Oryctolagus cuniculus: one gene and its partner. The protein of the gene in region 1 interacts with the protein of each later gene in a pairwise test. Links are inferred from orthologs where the notes say so. Each region holds a gene or a part of one and is shown in the gene's direction. Other genes may lie near its edges. The genes, in order: DUSP12 and EIF5.

The links.
Region 2: the proteins of DUSP12 (region 1) and EIF5 interact in binary tests that used the Homo sapiens proteins (3 or more experiments, as listed by UniProt). The two-hybrid records come from large-scale screens. The link is inferred for Oryctolagus cuniculus from reciprocal best matches to the Homo sapiens genes DUSP12 and EIF5.

The regions. Positions count from the first base shown.
Region 1 is NC_091438.1:37,036,570-37,042,738, reverse strand, and holds part of DUSP12 (dual specificity protein phosphatase 12), read left to right. Parts: intron 1-84; coding exon 85-265; intron 266-3,307; coding exon 3,308-3,469; 3' UTR 3,470-6,169. UniProt on the Homo sapiens protein: Dual specificity phosphatase; can dephosphorylate both phosphotyrosine and phosphoserine or phosphothreonine residues. Can dephosphorylate glucokinase (in vitro).
Region 2 is NC_091451.1:46,203,188-46,209,456, forward strand, and holds the start of EIF5 (eukaryotic translation initiation factor 5), read left to right. Parts: upstream 1-2,883; 5' UTR 2,884-3,022; intron 3,023-3,146; 5' UTR 3,147-3,357; intron 3,358-3,984; 5' UTR 3,985-4,192; coding exon 4,193-4,264; intron 4,265-4,347; coding exon 4,348-4,429; intron 4,430-4,974; coding exon 4,975-5,147; intron 5,148-5,339; coding exon 5,340-5,451; intron 5,452-6,050; exon of another isoform or gene 6,051-6,176; intron 6,177-6,269.

The DNA.
Region 1 (6,169 bases):
TCCACTCTGCCTGTCAAAAAAAAAAAAAAAAAAAAAAAAAAAAAAAAAATCCTTTTGATTAATATGTTTGTTTGGGAATTGCAGGCGATCCTTATTTCGAAGTTCAAGTATTTTGGGTCACAGTGAAGGAAGTGGACCTATAGCTTTTGCCCACAAGAGAATGGCACCATCATTCATGCTTGCCACAGGGACTCAGTGTACATCTTATTTCATTGAACCTGTACAGTGGATGGAATCTGCTTTGTTGGGAGTGATGGATGGGCAGGTCAGAATACATTTCTTATTTTTTCTACAATTTCATTGTACAATCTGTATTTTCTTCCTTTTTGTATTTTAACTAGTGTTTTATTCCATCTTAATCCCTTTCTTTTATGAAGATTATATTTTTCTAGTGTGGATCAGACTGTCAAAAATAAATATTTTTAAAGATCAGCTGATTTTAAATGGTAGTTGAGAGTTGCTACTCTAAGTTAATAAGTTTCTTTTAAGTCTATTTATATTTTTCAAATATAAAACAAATATTACTTTAAAACAAATTAATATCTTATAAAATTTGAACTTTGTAACAAGTAGGTTACCTCAGGAATTTTTAAATTTGGTTTAAAATGTCTTCCCTTTCTTTTTCTTTCTTAATTCCATGCATTTCTCTCTTTTTCTGATCTTTCAATTTAGTATGTTTGTTACGAGATTCTTTTTCATTTCCTGTCCAAGAATACAACTCATAACATCCTGTGACAGCCACTTTTTTCTTTAGGTTTAAGTTTTTGATATTAATATGCAGGCATTCTATAGAAATAATTTTAATAGTGATTTTAAAAGTTTGTAGAAAAGTTTTTATAATGGATATTTATTGAAACTCTTATTCCATGTCATTGGAATAAAATGGCTTTATAAAGGTGGTAGAACAGATACAGTCATACTTTATATGTGGGGAAACTTCATTTATTTACTGAGTATTTTACTTAAAAACAGTATCCTATATTCAAATGCACATTTTCAGATTTTGTTACTTTTTAAAAAAACAGCTTTGTTAAAGTATAACTCACATACCATACAGTTCACCAATTTAGAATAATGAATTCAACAGCTTTTAGTATATTCACAGTTTTTTGCAACTGTCGCTATTCTCATGACCCTTAAAATGATATATCCATTAGCGTTCATTTCCCATTCTTGATGATCGTATTTACAGTGATTGTTTCAGATTTTGGTGAACTGTAATATTGCTCTTTGGTGACTTATGCTTTTGGCTTGCTGCTTTCATTTAACCTGGAAAATATACAAACACATGATATTTTTGTGAAAGATTCTAAACCCTATTTGTGCGTATTTCTTTGTATACATATTTGAGTTTTCTTATATGGTATACACTTAGAAGTAAATTGTTGGCTTTATGACTGTATACATTTTAAATATTAATCATATTCCAGGCTGACATTCAAAATGCTCATACAAATTTAGTTTTCACCAACAGTGAATATCTACCCATTTCCTCATACCCTGGGCAAGTTATATATAAAACTGGTGAAGTTTTGTCAGTCTGTATCATGAAAATATTAATCTTACGTTTTTCATGACTACAGCCGAGGATGACATCTTTGCATTTACCAGCCATCTATAGTTGCTTTTTATTTATTTATTTATTCGAAAGTCAGAGTTACACAGAGAGAGGAGAGGCAGAGAGAGTGAGAGAGAGAGAAAGAGTGGTCTTCTATCTGATGGTTCACTCCCCAGATGGCCGCAATGGCCGGAACTGCACCTATCCGAAGCCAGGAGCCAGGAGCTTCTTCCTGGTCTCCCACTCGGGCACAGGGGCCCAAGGACTTGGGCCATCTTCCACTGCTTTCCCAGGCCACAGAGCTGCATCAGAAGAGGAATAGCTGGGACTAGAATTGATGCCCATATGGGATGCCGGGGCTCCAGGCCAGGGCGTTAACCCGCTCAGCCACAGCGCCGATCCCCCCCCGCCCCATCTATAGTTTCTTGTTGTGTAAACTGCTTTACCATCCCTGGCCTATTTTCTATGAATTTTCTTACTCTTACTGATTTGTAGGAGCTGTGTATATATTCTAGATGTAGATGCTTCATTTAATAAATAGAATTATTTTCCCTAGTCTATTACTTATCTCAAATTTTTGGTATATTTTGTAATAAAATTTAAGATACTGTGTAGTCTATTTTTTCATTTGTGGTTTCTGGGCTTTAAATCTGGACTTCCTGTAGTTTAATATTAAAAGCAAAAATTCCTACTTCCTACCATGTACAAATTATAGAACTAAACCTAAAAAATGTGATAACTGCACTGAAAGAAAATACAGTTTACTAAAGCTTTGATTTATCTGTTTTACTGGAATATCAGTTGATTGTTTTTAAGTCACTAGGAATCTGACTTACATGCTATCATTATCAGTAATAAAACATGAGAATCCTAATAATCTTTTCCATTCTTTATTCATGTTGTAGTTTTTTTTTTTTTGAGATTTTATTTATTTATTTGAGATGTAGAGTTACTGACGGAGAGGGAGAGATAGAGAGAAAGGTCTTCCATCTGCTGGTTCATTCCCCAAATAGCCACAGCAATCGGAGCTGGGCTGATCAAAAGCCAGGAGCTTCTTCCAGATCTCCCATGCAGGTGCAGGGGCCTGAGTACTTGGGCCATCTTCTATTGCTTTCCCAGACCATAGCAGAAAGCTGGATTGGAAGAGGAGCAGCTGGAACTAGAACCAAAAGAGAGAGATCTTTCATCCATTTGTCTACTCCCCAAATACCTGCAACAGCTAGGGCTGGGCCAAGACCCCAGAATCCAATTTGGATCTCCCACATGAGTGGCAGGGACCCAATTACTTGAGCCATCACCTGCCTTCTAGGGTACCCATAACAGGAAGCTGGAATTGGAAGCAGAGGTGGCACTCAAAACAGGCACTCTGATGAGATGTGGCTGTTCTAAGTGATGTCTTAACCACTGTGTCAGGTGCCTGCCCCTACACGTTGATTTAAAAACCTAGTATGTATGCCACATTCTTGAAGCCATCCTTGAGTTTCAAATGTCACCTTTCTCCCCTAAAGCTGGGATCCATCTGTTCTTCCTCTAAGCTGCCCGAGTACAACATACTTCTTAGGCAGTAATTGTAGTCCACCATCTATAATACAGCAAATTCCTCATGTATTTAATGTCACCAATTAGAGTACAAACTCCTTGAAGATAGGGGCCATGTTTGCCTGTGCTTATATCCTATATTGCCAAAGAAAATTATTTGTTTTGTATAAAAGTGAATAAATGAAGTAATACATTGGCTTTTTATTTCAGCTGCTTTGTCCAAAATGCAGTGCCAAATTGGGTTCCTTCAATTGGTATGGTGAACAGTGCTCATGTGGAAGATGGATAACACCTGCTTTCCAAATACATAAGAACAGAGTGGATGAAAAGAAAATGCTGCCAGTTTTGGGATCACAAACAAGAAAAATATGAACTTGTGACATCTGCTATCTTGGAAGGAACCTTGCTGAAGATACATGCTGCCCCGGCTTTCAGTTACTCACTGCAGGTTGTCTAGTTTGTAGGCCATCAACATTTCAATTGCAGTGTGAAAGGGAAAAATCCCATGAAGTAACCTAGAAACTGCCCTGTTATTAGGTTATTACGTGATGTAAGTAGAATACATAGCAATCAAAGTTTTTTAGTCATATAAATTTTATATGATAGTAAAATCTTTTATGATACTAACACTTCATTTGTTTCATGTTTTTAAAAGTCATGATTTATTTATTTAATTTGAAAGGCAGACAGAGACAAAGATCTCCCATCTGTTGGTTTATTCTCCAGATGCTTGCAGTTTCTGGAACTGGGCCAAGCCTAATCCAAGAGCCAGAAACTCAATCCATGTCTCCCATATTAGTGGCAGAATCGTCACCTGCTGCTTTAGCCTACATTTGCAGGAAGATGGAATAGGAAGTGGAGCTAGAACTCAAACTGAGGCGCTCTGATACGGGATGGGGGAGGTCTCCTATGGCATCTTAACCACTATGCCAAATGCTGCCCTGAAACTTAATTCCAGTTTTCCATGAGTTTTTTGAAGTACCCTCGTATTTTGAAATTTTGCTTTCTCTCTTTTAAGGGAAATTAGTAAGCCTATTTATGTCTAGATTTTTCTTGTAAATGTAAAAGAAAGGCTATTAGTAAAACAGAATATGTTTTTCTTGTTCAGAAATTCCAATTATCTGCAGGTTTTTTTTTTTTTTTTCTTAAGTTTATTTATTTGAAAGGCAGAGTAAAACAGTGAAAGATAGAGATCTTCCATCTGCTGGTTCATGCTTCAAATGCCTATAGCAGCTGAGGCTGGGCCAGGATGAAGCAAGGTGCCTGAAACTCCATCTGGGTCTCCAGCATGGGTAGCAGGGACCCAAGGACTTGAACCAGCACGTGCTGTGCATGAGCAGGAAGCTGGAAGTAGAAGCATAGCCAGGACTCATCCAGGCATTGATACAGGATGGGTAGCTTAACCTACTGTGCCACCGTGCCCACTCCAATAAACATTTTATCTACATTTTTAGAAAAGTGTGTTTGAGATACCTCTTAAAGCAATCTACATAAAGAAATACTTTAATGTTAGATGTGTCTTAATAATCAAGATTAATGTGGAATTACATGTCAGTTACTCTTTTAGTCTAATACATTTGAGTATTGGAAAAAGTAATAAATCTAGATCAACTTTGTAACCTGATTTCTGGAAACTAGAATTGTACTCACTATTAATAGGGCAAATTGGACCTAATTTGGTATTTTGAACATATACATGAAATCAGAATTAGCTAATAAAGAGAAATATGTGTCTGTATTGTAAAAACTAAAATGGGAATAATTTTTCAATGTAAAATAAGGTGTAAATAATGAACTTCTTAGTATCTAGAATAGGGACTGGCCCTGTTGCATGGTGGGTAAAGCTGCCACCTGCAGGGCTGACATCCTGGCTGCTCTACTTCTGATCCAACTCCCTAATAATGCGCCTGGGAAAGCAGCAGAAGATGGCCCAGGGTCTTGGCCTCTTGCAACCACATGGGAGACCCAGATGAAGCTCTTGGCTCCTGGCTTTGGCCTGGCCCAGACCTGGCCATTGTGGCCATTTGGGGAGTGAATCAGTGAATGTAAGACCCCTCTCTCTGCCTCTGTTTCTCCCTCTCCTTCTCTGTTACTCTTTCAAATGAATAAATCTTTTTAAAAAAATCTAGCTTAATTTTTGACATGTGTTGTAATGTTATGGATGATCCTTGAGAAAAATTTTAAGACCTGAAGCCTTTATCAACTTTCATGGAGTAATTTTTCTTGTGAGAAAAGAATTCCCTCCATTTCTGTTTTAGCTTTTACACACTTTGTCTAGTTTTTTGCTTTATACTGTTCTCTGGAAAGCTTTTTACTAAACAGGTTATACCATATGAAACTGTCCCTTTTGTAGGAAAAAAGTAATGGAACAGCAGTTTCATGTGGCTCAAGTTAATGTCTATCCATCATATATTGTAGCATATAGTACCAAGAGAAATAGATTTGAATGTACAGTTGTCAGCAAATGTTTCCTGAGGATGTATTATGTGCACAGTTCTAGGTGATAAAATAAACAAACTGATGTTCTAGCTGGGAGAGACAGATAAAATACCTTTTTTGAAAGATAAGTGGTATTTATCAGTGCAGATCAATTTTGGGAAACCTAACTTCTCTATTTAAATTATACAGGTTTTTTTTTTTAAACTTATTTGACAGGTAGAGTTAGATAGTGTGAGAGAGACAGAAAACAACTTACAACTTTTTTTTTTTTTTTTACTTATGTGACAGGTAGAGTTAGACTGTGAGAGAGAGAGAGAAAACTACTTAACTTACAACTTTTTTTTTTTTTTTTTTTACATATTTGACAGGTAGAGTTACACGGTGAGAGAGAGAGTCAGAGAGAAAGGTCTTCCTTCCGTTGGTTCACCTCCCAAGTGGCCACTACGGTCCCCGCTGTGCCGATCCAAAGCCAGGAGCCAGGTGCTTCCTCCTGGTCTCCTATGCGGGTGCAGGCGCAGGCGCCCAAGCACTTGGGCCATCCTCCACTGCCTTCCCGGGCCACAGAAGAGAACTAGACTGGAAGAGGAGCAACCAGGACTAGAACCCAGCACCCATATGGGATGCCGGTGCTGC
Region 2 (6,269 bases), on another chromosome or scaffold:
GGCCGGGCAGTTGAGACCCTGCTTGGGGCACCCACCCCCGTGTCAGGTCCTGGGTTTGAGTGCTGCTGCTGATCCCAGCTTCCTGCTCAAGCAGCCATGGCTGCACCTGCACAGGGGACGCAGACTGAGCTCCCGGTTCCCAGCTCTGGGTGGGACGGTGGACATTTGGGAAGGGGCCCAGGGGCTAGGCGATCTCTGCCTCTTTCTCTGCCTTTCAAATAAACAAATAACTTTTCGATTGTTTTCTAGATTTATTTGAAAAGCAGAGTGTCAGAGAGTACGACAGACAGACAGACAGACAGAGGCATCTTCCATTCACTGGCTCATTCCCCAAACGGCTGCCTCGCCAGGAGTCCAGAACTCCAGCAGAGCCTCTCACCCGGGCCACCGTCTGCCGTCTTCCCGGGTGCATTCAGAGAAGATCGGCTGAAAGCAGAGCAGCCGGGACTCCCACCGGCGGTGCGACGCAGGACGCCAGTGTCACACGCGGAGGCTTACCCTGCCAGGCAGTGCCGGTCCCTAAAGAAACTTCTGAAAAACTGAAAGCTGGGAGAGAGGTGTCACAGGAGGCCAGGGGAGCAGCCGACGACTGCTTTTGATTGCCCTTCACGAGGTGCAGACCGGGGGAGCCGGGCCACAGGCCCCGTCACCGTGGGCACTAAGGTACTGGACAGGTGGTCTCCCGAAGTCCGCGTGGGGCTGATCCTGTGCAGTGAGGGGCTCGTGCACGGCAAGACAACGTCTCAACAACCAGAGAGCTGCCTGCCTCTCACGTCTGCCATTCAGGCCACGCGCCACACTCGTCCAACAGGCATCCAGGCGCACCTGGTGCCCGTGCATCCTTTAGTGGACGGTGAGCACCTGACTGGAGGACGTGACACAGCCAAATGGGCACAGGCCCAGACATGGGAGGCGGAATTGTGCAACAGGCCTGGCGTCACACAAGCCGGAGTTCAAACAGTGACAGGCGACTTCGGGAACACCGCCTCCCCTTCCCGAGTCTCCTCGCCCGTAAAATGAGCGTGAGGACGCCCCGCACAGGCCTGCCGGTGTTCACGCAGGTCTGCCTCCCCGCACAGGCCTGCCGGCGTTCACGTGGGCCTGCGGGCTGCGCCCCTGCTGTTCAAGGCGATGGCTTTGGGACCCCGCAGCTCTGGGCCTAAATCCTAGCTCTGACCTTCACTGGGTCTGTGAGGGAGTCCAGCTTGTGAGAAAATGAAATTAAAAGGTTGTTTTGTCACAAAAAAGCCTGCAATCCAGGCACACAAGGGGTCTTCAAAAATTTCATGGAAAATGCATACTACAAAAATAACTATGCATGGTTTCTACATTTTATTTTCACCAGACGTGTCAGTCAAAATTTTCCATGACTTACTGTTTAAATACCCTCGTATGACTTTGGGCAAGTTGCTTAAATTTTTCCACTAGGCCTGTTCGCACATTTGCAGAATGGGAATAAACGTTGTCCTGGGGTCTAGCAGTGAGTAAGATAGCGCCGCCAGAGCACTCGGCTGCGAGGGCGCGGGGAGAGCCTCACAACGTGGCTGTGAGTGCCACACACCAGAACTTAAAATGAGCTCAAACTATTACAAACTGGGCAAGGGAAAAAAGGCGCCTTGTATTTATTTAAAACTTTCCTGAGGACAAAGCCTCTTACCCCAGGAGAGCTGCGCGCCCTTCCTTTCCAGGAGTTTCTAAAATAACGTCACGCGTGGGCAGCCACGCAGAGCCAACCGGCCTCAACCCTGCAGTCACGCGCCGCCGCGACCCTGCCCAGCACGGCCGAGTTACTCCCTAACCCGCACTAGGCGGGCCGAACGGCTTACAGAGCCCACAACACCAGGAAGAGTAACCCTGCACTGGAAGGGGAGAGGGAGTGGGAGAGGGGAGCGTTGTGGGTGGCAGGGAAGTTACGGGGGGGGGGGGGGGGAGCTATTGTAATCCATAAGCTGTACTTCGGAAATTTATGCTCATTAAATAAAAAAAAATAAATTAAAAAAAAAAAGAGTAACCCTGCACTTTGATGTAAAAAAAAAAAAAAAGCCTCTAAGCTTGCAAACTGCACGGGTTAACACCCACGCTGTCCACTCCAGGTGCGGACCCGGGGAGCCCGGCCAGGAAGCAGCCAGCAGTCCGAGTCCAGCTCAGACTCGGACGCAGAAGCCCGAGTTCCTGGAAGCACAGGGAAGCTGCGGCAGAACAAGACGCGAGCCCTGTCGCCACAGCCGCCCTGGTCACCCCGGGGCCCCATGCGACGGGCGGTCACTCGGGGCAAAGCGGCAGAGGGGCAGCGAGGGTCGGGGCTCTCCAAGCCTGGGGCAGCGCAGCGGACACTGCGCCGAGGCGGGGCGCTGCCAGGAGGCCCCGCTACGAGCGAGTCCGAGGTTTCCACTTCTGAAACCGGGGAGCCACGGTGTGGGAGGGGAGCGGCCAGGCTCGGCGCGACGAAGTCCCTGGCCTGCCCCATCCAAGGGCCAGGGTCCCCCGAGGCCACTCGGCCCAAAGAGGCGGATAAAAGGCAGCACTCGCGATCCAGGAGCCGGGCAGGGGCCGGCGGGCGAGTGCCCGGCCCCTAGTCGAGCGCGCCGCCGCGAGGAGCGGCCCGGAGCGCTGCAGGCCCGAGCCAGGCCCAGGCCCAGCCTCAGGCAGACGGGGGAGGGGAACCAACCGCCATCTTTCCCAGAGTGCCGTAACCACTAGACGAAGCTCCGCCGCGGCGGCCGCTCCCTCTCTCGCGAGATCTGGCGCCTGCGCCGCGAAGGCCACTGGGAAAAGCGGGGGGAGGGGAGAGGAAGGAAGCCGGGACCCCGGCTGGAGGCGGGCTGAAGCGGCGACAGGACCCTCAGGAAGAGGGGGCGGGGAGAGGGCGCGATTGACGCGGCGTGCAGGCCAATCAAAAGCGAGCTCGGGCGGGCCTCCGGCCAATCGGTAGTGCGGCCTAGCGCGAGGGGCGGGCGCTGGGGCCGAAGGTAGCTTGAGCGCGGCGGCGGCGTTGTTCAGTCAGAGCGAGAACATTCCAGAGGTGAGTCCGCTGGAGGGGCGGCGGCCCCGCGCCCCCTCCCCGCCCCCCGACCCCGCGGGCCGCTGGCTGGCGGGGCAGGCGCGCCCGCCCGGCCGCGGCTCACGGCGCCGTCTCTCCGCGCCAGGTCGCCGCTCCGCGCTGCCCGACCGCGGACGTCTGGGACAGCCCCTCCCGCTGCTCGGCGGCGGCACCTGGCCCGGCCGCTCCCCGCGCTGCGCTGCGCTCCGCTCCGCCGCCTCCGCCGCCCCGGACTCGGACTCGGGTTGAGACGCGCCTCACTTCATCCCAGTCCCGGGCGAGCAGCGTTGGGTTTATGTCTTTATTTGACGAAAACGGTGAGTCGCGGGCGGGCGGGCGGGCGGGCGGACGGGAGATGGCGGCCGCACAAGATGGCGGCGCCGCCGCGTGACCCGCCGCGGCGTGTGGCGCAGTTTGGGGGGCGGGCGGCCCGCGGCCCGCAGCCGGCGCGGCCTCTGCCCTGCCGGCGGGAGCGCGCGCTGCCGCATCTGTGAGTCACCGCGCCCGCGGCGGGGGTGGCCGGCGGCCCCGGCGCCGCGGCGGGCCCGGGATGGGCCCGGCGCCCCTGAGCGCCTCGGAGGGCGCGGGGCCGAAGGTCAGGCGCGCGGGGCCGGGCGGGCCCTCGCGCCCGCGGCCGGACGCTGGAGTAAGCCGGCGCCGCGGCGCCAACGCTCCGCTCGGCCCCGGACTGCGGCTCGGGGGGCAGGGCTGGCCGCCCCGGCGGGTGGGGGCGGGGCGGGCTTCCGCGGGCGGCGGCCGGCGTTCCCGGGCCCGGGCCGCGGCGTCGCCAGCGCGGAGGCCCCGTCTGTCGCCGGCGGCGTGCGGGGTCGGGGAGTCGGAGGCGCCCCGCCGGGTCCGGGGCTGTGTGTGGCGCGGGCAGCCCGTCGGTGCGGGAGTGACGTTACACCTGCGGGGATCGGGTGTGTTCTTTGCTTCTCTTGCAGAGCTGTTGCGCAGCCATTGGTACCTGTATTGGGGACACATAGCATACAAGCAAGAAGCTTGCAGCCTCAGTGGCGAAAATTTTTTCATGTCAGAGACCGAGAACTCTTGCAGTCGTTTATGTCATCCCTTCTTCTCCAGACAGAAGATACCAAAAAGTTGCAATCAAAGATCTCTTCATCTTATTGATAAAGCCACTAATAAGCCAAAATGTCTGTCAACGTCAACCGCAGCGTGTCAGACCAGTTCTATCGCTACAAGATGCCCCGTCTGATTGCCAAGGTAATGCTGATCTTCGATTTTGTAGGAAGACTGTAGATGTTTAAGTAGATTAAATGCAAAAATAAAGTTCGTGTTCTCTTTAGGTTGAGGGCAAAGGAAATGGAATCAAGACAGTTATAGTCAACATGGTTGACGTTGCAAAGGCGCTTAATCGGCCTCCAACGTGTAAGTAAAGCTTCTTGGAGAAGTCTGAAAAGGTATATGACGAATATATATTGTCTTGATCCTCTTTAAGCTGAAAAACATTTACGAATTCTTTGCTAATTAGTTGAAAGGGTAAGGAGTGGAACCTCTAACAAATGTAATAGTTGTCTTAAGTTCACAAAATTACCTGGGCAGCACATTAGATTTAGCACGATTTTTTTTGTTTTAAAGATTTGAGAGGCAGAGAGAGGGGCTGTCCATCTGCTGGTTCACTCCCCAAATGGTCACAACAGCTGGAGCTGAGCTGATCAGGAGCTTCTTGTCTCCCAGTTGGGTGCAAGGGGCCACCTTACATTGCTTTCCCATGCCATAGCAGAGAGCTGGATCAGCTGGAACTCAAACAGGCGTCCATATGGAATGCTGGCACTGCAGGTGGCAGCTTTACCTACACCACTAGCTCTGTGCCCAACAACTTAAAAACAGTGATTTTTGTGTAAGATATGAACAAGCAGCCAGACATTTAGTTAACTGTAATGAGGCAAATCTAATTGTTTTTCTCCAAATAGATCCCACCAAATATTTTGGTTGTGAGCTGGGAGCACAGACCCAGTTTGATGTTAAGAATGACCGTTACATTGTCAATGGATCTCATGAGGCGAATAAGCTGCAAGACATGTTGGATGGATTCATTAAAAAATTTGTTCTCTGTCCTGAGTGTGAGAATCCTGAAACAGATCTGGTGAGTGAATGCAGCAGGGTTTTTGTTTGGAACAGACAAAACCATCTGCCTGCCTCTGAGCAATCCTGTGGTAGCACTGCCTTTCCTGGGAAGGCAAGGCACACTTTGCTGTTAGAAAACAACGCACCTACAATTTTTTTTAAGTAGGTCGCCGTCTCTCATTTCTTATGATGGTTTTTTTTCCTTTTCCAGCATGTCAATCCGAAGAAGCAAACAATAGGCAATTCTTGTAAAGCCTGTGGCTATCGAGGCATGCTTGACACACATCATAAACTCTGCACGTTCATTCTCAAAAACCCACCTGGTAAGGCTTCATACTAAACTAATAAGATTTTTTTTTTTAAATTTATTTATTTATCTGAAAGTCAGTTACATAGAAGGAGAGGCAGAGAGAGCTCTTCCATCTGCTGGTTCACTCCCCAGTTGGCCGTCGCTGATCCGAAGCCGGGAGCTGCTTCTAGGTCTGCCACTCAGGTGCAGGGGCCCAAGGACTTGGGCCATCTTCTACAGCTTTCCCAGGCCATAGCAGAGAGCTGGATGGGAAGTGAAGCAGCCAGGTCTTGAACTGGCGCCCATATGGGATGCTGGCACTGTAGGCGGTGGCTTTACCCGCTGTGCCACAGCACTAGCCCCACTAATAAGATTTTAACAAAATTTCTTGGAAACAAAGTGGGAGATTTTCTGTTGCAAAAGGAATATGGGAACACCACGTTGCATTACATGTAAATGTTTGAAAAGTCTACTATTTTTTTTTTTTTGTGCCATTAAAGTTGAATACAGTAGATTTTTCCACCATACCATCAACTTTTGAGATGGGCCATCTTAAGGTGAATGAGACACTTAAGATTAGTGTTGTTTGGTAAACGGAGAGCTTGTCTTAAGATTTAAGGGTCTTTAAACTGCAAGCAACACTCTGTGGCAGACTGTCAAAACTGTCTGACACAATTTGAGCTTGCTATAGCAAGGAAGTCTAACCTATTCCGGTGTTCTCTTTCCTGTGAGACAAGCCGTTATATAGACTTAAACAGTGTTCAACTGTGTTGGAGAAGGCTGGTTTGAGATAGAAGCCTTGTTCAAGGTCACAAGGCCTATGTTGAACTTCTTGGGCATTTGAGACATCAT